2 linked regions of the Nothobranchius furzeri genome follow. The protein of the gene in region 1 purifies or fractionates together with the protein of each later gene. This does not show direct contact. Links are inferred from orthologs where the notes say so. Each region holds a gene or a part of one and is shown on either strand. Other genes may lie near its edges. The genes, in order: trmt6 and trmt61a.

Region 1 (3,927 bases):
AGTTGTGATTGGTTTCTTAAAACTTAGAAGATTTGAAGTTACTCAGAAGCTGCATTTTTTTTACATTCATTAGACAACTTTCTTTTAGGAAAATAGAAGAAACAAAACTAATCCTTACAGTGGTTTTAAATAACGTTACTTACACACATTACATTCATATTCTAAATAATCTCATTCTCCAAACAGTGAAGTGTAGTAAAAATGCAATATTTGTAAAACAGGCCATCTGTAATCTGTTGCTCTTCTGCGATTATGTGTTGGATGCATGTAAAATACAGTCTAATCCAGGGTGAACTACTGCCACAAAGTTCACTTTTCAAAACTCAGAGGTCTCCTTCCTTTGTTAAAGCTATGATTGTTTAGTATATCAAATTATTTCTAGCATGAAGCATACAAATAGTCCCTCAAAAACAAATTCAGTTTATAGGCCATTTTTTGTTATTTTGATAATTTTATTTAATTTTATCCACTTTTTTTACTGCACAGTAATATGCTTTTGGTATAAAACCCCAATTACAATTATTCCACACAAATTAGCAAACTATGTGTCTTATTTATTACAATTAGAAAACTGGCTCCATCGAATATTTGTGCAGATCAGGACATATTTAACCAGTGAATTTATCAGTCTTATATCTCAGCAAAAACCTTTTCTTTTACTTACAAGAAAAAAAATCATGTTTTTTTTTCATGATTAAAATCAAACACTTTTTTCTACAGATTTTCCTATTTCTTTCATTCCTGCAGTTTGTCTCCTACTCTGATAAGAAGGCAAAACAGTTCCATTAATGAAATAATTAGTGTTGACTTTAATTTTTATTTGAGTTTGTCACAAAACAATTGAAAACAAGTTTATTTGAAACATATGTTTACTATATACACTCACACAGATCACAGTGTTTTAAGTATCATAGGTTAGTCTTTTTAATGAGAAAGAAAACTCACACTTTTGTTTCGTTTGGGCTTTTTAAATTAGTTCTTATATTTTGTTATAAATCATTCACAAAAGAATAGTCACTATAAAAAGCCGTAGATTTTATTTATTTAACACTGTTCCCAATAATGCAGAACATTTTTTTTTATTTCCCATCTGATGTATCTCACAGGTTTACAATAATTTCAGTACAATGAGGCAGATCATATCAAGCATCGGCTGCGTTCGAGGTGAGCCAGTTCTGCGCAGATTAGATCACCGGTGATCGGCGAGCAGTGCATGCCGGTAACGCGATATCTTCAGCCATCGTCATCACCTCCGAGCTACAAATGTAGGGAAATCTGTCCGGTGTACTCCCCCTGCTGCTTCCGTCTGCTCTCTCAGTTTTCCAGGCGAGGCGCAGCTCAACTCGAACACGGCCGATATTGAGTCATTTGTGTATATTGACTGTATTGTTAACGAACCAATATCCTAAATAAAAAAAATAAAATAAAATAAAAATTCGAACACGGCCATCGTGAAGTTCCTCGTTTATCGATTTTTCTGAAATCTACAGTTGACTCACACTTTGCTCTTATTGGCTGGTTAATCGCTTTGACATTTTTCCAGCCAATCACAGGCGCGCTTACAGGATCATTGCTCTGAGATAAATCTGTTTTCGTTCAGTCATCCTGGGAGGCTAGGGAAAGAGTGCTAACACGTGTGTTAAACAACGTAAAGTATTTTCTAGTTCTCCAGAAGAAATTAGTGCCTTATCCTATCTTTGCCTCTATTTTTTATCTTTATTTTGCTGATATAAAGTTAACCGAACAGGATTGTTTTGAGCAGTTTATTATGGCTGAGAACGAAGACGATAATCAGTACAGAATCGAAGAGGGTGACAATGTTGTGTTAAAACGTGGAGACATTTATAAAGCTGTGCAAATTCAGCTAAAGAAGTAAGTAAAAACTTTAACCACGTAGATATAAATATGTGAATGTATTTTAATTTCAACTTGTTTGGTTATAGACGCTTATATAGTGTCTGTGCATAAATATGACGCTATTAAAAGGTCATTTACACACAGGAAGGTGATCTTTGAGAAGCAGTGGATATTTCTGGATAATGCAGTGGGACAGTTGTACAGCACCACGTTTGAGATTGTATCTGGAGGAAACCTGCAGCCAAAGGAGGACCGTAAGGAACAGGACACAGAAAGTCCTGCAGGTATAGCACCAATAATAACATTATAATAGGTATGATTCAAGATTTCTTCAGACAAAACTGTTAACATGTTGTTCTTTTTCAGGATTAACTGTGTACTCTGTGTTTGATTCTAGATGTAAAGGTGGCAGGTACGGACAACAGGAACATTGTTGATGACGGCAAATCACAGAAGCTGACCAGAGATGATATTGAGACGCTGAAAGAGCAAGGCCTGAAGGGTCAGGTACATTACTAACTTTAATCACAGATCCAGTCATGTGTCTGAAAGTGGCTGTGACTAAACGCCGCTTAGACAGACACATAAATCATGCAAAACCCAATTTATTATCGGTCAGCTCATTTGTAATTTAATTGTTTAGATTTAGACTTTTCTGCCTTTGCACATAGTTTAAAATGATTTAAAAGTTTCTTTTTTTATTTCTTTTTTTTTATATATATAGAAGTGCAGCGCATATGTTTGCTGGAAGAGAATTTTAGAATTTTCTTTTTGTTAAATTCTGCATTTGTAGTTTGGTAGAGTTTCAGATAAACGGCTCGCATTAAACGTGGTTAAAGTGTTAAAAGGAAGCCATGTCCTAGTTTCCTTGTTGTGCCCACCATTCTGGTATTTTACTTAAAGGGACATTATGGAAGTTTGACAGCCAAAACATGTATAGAAATAATAAATGTCTTCTTCATACATTCTCCTGCAATGCCCTGGTCCTGTAGAATGAGCCCTGGCATTTTTACTGTGATTGCCTGTTTTTCTGTAAAATCACAGAAAAAGAGAGATGCTCGGGTCGAGCAGGCTGCTTCATGCGCGTTCACGCTCAGGCATAGCCCGTAGCATTTGCTATCAGTAGCTTTAGCAGCAGAGAGAGAGGCAGTGCCACTTTGTCGCTGTTCCTAACGCCTAGTGACAAACTAGCTACATTTCTGAGGACCCTTAGCTACTTTCTGTAGAACTTTCTTCTAGATATTTCCTGCAAATTAGCAACAAAATAGCCATTTTCGCTTTGAACCGTTCTTTGGTTTGACGTTGTTTCAGCTGTCATCAAGGATATAAAAGTTACAGATACTGTGTATGTTACTAGAGTGTAGCTCACCTTGTAAGATGTCTGACTCTCATGCAGAAGACCTGGGTTTGATTCTGGGTGTGAACATGGAAGAAGAAGAAAATATCATTTCTAGAGCGCCTCAAGATAAAAATCACGAGGTGCTTCACGAAAACAAAAAATATAAACAAGCATTTAGAAAAAGTTTTAAAATATATTTAAAATGAGCAAAAATGGACAATTGTGATTAAAAATGTAAAGAGAGAGAGAGAGAGAAAAATCAGTGGATCCTGGGGAGTGCAGATTTTGGGGGGGGGGGGGGGTTGATGAGGTTACGCAAAAGCCTGCATTAATAGGTTCGGCTGCTTTTTAAAGGAGAGCACTGAGTCCACTGATCCCAGGCTCAGGGGTTCTAGAGTCTGTGCGTAGTCCAATGTCTCTAGGGAGCTTGCTGAAGAGGTTATGAGGTTCTGGACTTTTGCACGTGTCGTGCACAGGCGACCCAGCGACGCGACCCCAGAAAGTTGAATATTTCCAACTTTTCATCGCTGTCGCTCGGACGAGGACCAATCAACAAGAGGTTTCATTCACCGACCAATGAGTGGACAGGATGCTCTGAACATCTCCGAGCAAACATGGAGGAGAAGTTGATTATTATTATGTTTTATAGTAAAATCAGAAGTAAGATTTCACATAACTCTAGCAGCACCATATCTGCCGCTTTTTTAGCTCTGAACCGCTTAAATAACCTT
Region 2 (2,619 bases), on another chromosome or scaffold:
CTGCTATTCCGAGCCTCGGACAACCAGATTAAAACTCTTCTGGTCCTCAGACCAGAGTGGAGCGAACGTCGTCAAATCAGCGACGAGACTTGGTGACTAGAGGCTGAAAACAAACAGCTTTTAGGAGCAGATCAAATATACATTTTTAACAAATGGAGTTTATTTGAGAAACAAACAAAAGATTAGGATTTGAATTAAGATGCTTTATAACCCAGCTGATTGGCTGTTAGCGTATCGGTTTGATCACAACCGATCTCCTCGTCTCCAGACTGAGGCTGTTCAAATAAACACTCCTTCAGTGACTCGAATGAAATGTATCTGATAAGTGAATCCGAGCAGCATCAGCTGACCCGGTCCACACCAGAACAAGCAGGTTGGAGTCAGGAACCGCGCGTTCCTAACCCACAGGGCAGCTATCCCGCTTTCCCACCAGAAACAGGATCCGATTCTGGAAACTCCGGAGACAAACTGCAGCTTCCAGACTCACCGGATCAAAAACAGGAGTGGGAATTCTCAGCAGATCCGTCTGTGGAGGACCTCTCAGACAAACATCAGCAGCCTTCAGGAGGCAGCAAACGCTTGACCAGAACTATGAACGGAGCTTTTTCACACACACCAGCTGCTTTAGGAATTAGACGATGCGTTTCATACTTTTAGATCCAGCACAGACTTCATCGTGAAAAAAGAAATACGTTTTATTTTCAAATTTCACAATTTAGTTGGGCTGCAGGAGGAAACCCTGCCCAGAATCCATTAGGAAGAATTCACCTGGTCACATAAACAGAAGCTTGACACGAGTCACAGTCCTGCTGCAGCTTTACTTTAATCTTTCAAGAGGAACAAGGGTTCGCTGTGAGCGTCCCAACACAGCAGCTGTTAAACAAAATCAACACAATTTTACTCTTTCTTGGTGTTTCGAAGCGAAAACACCCATAAATGAGAGCAAGTTTTAATCCTGACACAGAAGCAGAAACAATAATCTGAGTTATAAACAAACTAAACTGCTGTCAGGCGCATTTTCCCTCCTGCTTGATGCAAGCAACAAACGACTCGGCCAGCCTCAGGTTCTGGGTTTGGTGGCAAATGTGAGGTACCCCGTGTGACCCGGCATTTCTCTTGGTGGCGTGGTGGTCTTCATGGTGATGGAGGCGTGGTTTACACTAGGAGTGGGAGGGGCCTCCTCCTCGGGTCCGGGTTCAGTCTGAGAGGAGGGGTCTGGCCCAAAGTCGGGCAGAGGAAGCGAGACGGTCCGGACGTCGTGGATCCTCAGAAGCACCTCTACGGTGCTGATCTCCTCAAAGGCCTGATCCGCCAGAACCTCACAGGTCCTCTGGACCTGCTCTATGCATGGGGAGAAGGAGCACAGGTGACCTCCTGCAGGAGACAGAAAGCAGACATCACTGCACATCCTGGGGGAGTCAGACCATGGTTCTACTGATCAGTCAGGTCTACATCAGCATGTCCCATGTGGGACCAGAAGAACAGATGAAGCAAACAAAGAAAAAGGACATTTTATCTCACTCTGGGGAAACTACTGTCAATGAAACTGGGTCAGAGCAGATAAGCACGATCACAGCCTCAGGAGAACAGACCCGGTGGTTCCCGTTTCACCAGGAGACGAGCCGGTGGTCTAATAAACCTACAGACCACCTCCTCTAATCTCCAACGACACCCTGAGGTGTTTGCAGCAACTGCTCAACAGATGGCTCCCCGGGCGATCGGAGGGGCTGAGCAGGGGGAGAGCTAGGCTTAAGAACAACCTGCAGCTCAGAGCCCGAGAACAAAGATGGCTCCACGTGTGTGTGTGTGTGTGTTTCCTGCTCCAACAGCAGAAACCAGCTGATGTGTCGTCAGGGCGATGGAGGTCATGAACCTTCACAATCCCGCCTCTCTGGACTATGACCCGATTACGGTTCTGTGTTCTGACTACAACGCACTAAACTGCTCTGCTGGCATTCACGGGTTTGGGTTCAAATGTGTTTCTGTGTAAGCGTTATAAATAATTCATATCTGTTGCCGACAGCTGAACAGCCTCTGTTTGGAGAAACAGTTCATATCATATATAAAAAAAACTGATGAGCTAACAGCCTGGGTGAGTGAAATCTCAATGCTTAAATCTACAAAACATTTATTCTTATTGTGCAAAATAAAAGAAAATCACAGAAATTCATAAACAAGCCAGACTAGCGGTTAGCTCGTCGGTCCTGTAGAGTTCTGCTAACTCGGCTGTTCAGGATCAGAGTATTTATGCTTCAGAACGACTGAAAGGTCCCTTTAAACCATACATGTGTTGCCTCCTCTTCAGAGTTTAACTCTTCCTGATGATGTCATCCACCAGAGGTCCTGAAAGACCAGAAGGCAGCGTGGCTGAAGAGCGCTTCGTGTCTTGTAACCATCACAACAACCCCCCAATCAACGCAAACCCCTTCTCTTAGCAACACACACACGAGAAGTGAATGTCTACACCAGGGCGACTCCAACTGCCCCCCCCCCCACCACCACCACCACCACCACACACACACGCACACGCACGCACGCACACACACACACACACACGAAGTTAATGTTTACACCAGGGCGACTCCAACTGCCCCCCCCCCCCCCCCCCCACACACACAC

Evidence for each region.
Region 2: the proteins of trmt6 (region 1) and trmt61a purify together in Homo sapiens (affinity purification with mass spectrometry; 4 studies listed by BioGRID and IntAct, counting the BioPlex papers as one, with this or other methods). This does not show direct contact. The link is inferred for Nothobranchius furzeri from reciprocal best matches to the Homo sapiens genes TRMT6 and TRMT61A.

The regions. Positions count from the first base shown.
Region 1 is NC_091742.1:22,627,127-22,631,053, reverse strand, and holds the start of trmt6 (tRNA (adenine(58)-N(1))-methyltransferase non-catalytic subunit TRM6), read left to right. Parts: upstream 1-1,594; 5' UTR 1,595-1,768; coding exon 1,769-1,872; intron 1,873-2,001; coding exon 2,002-2,141; intron 2,142-2,254; coding exon 2,255-2,364; intron 2,365-3,927. UniProt on the Homo sapiens protein: Substrate-binding subunit of tRNA (adenine-N(1)-)-methyltransferase, which catalyzes the formation of N(1)-methyladenine at position 58 (m1A58) in initiator methionyl-tRNA.
Region 2 is NC_091758.1:10,828,628-10,831,246, reverse strand, and holds the end of trmt61a (tRNA (adenine(58)-N(1))-methyltransferase catalytic subunit TRMT61A), read right to left. Parts: intron 1,375-2,619; coding exon 1,061-1,374; 3' UTR 678-1,060; downstream 1-677. UniProt on the Homo sapiens protein: Catalytic subunit of tRNA (adenine-N(1)-)-methyltransferase, which catalyzes the formation of N(1)-methyladenine at position 58 (m1A58) in initiator methionyl-tRNA.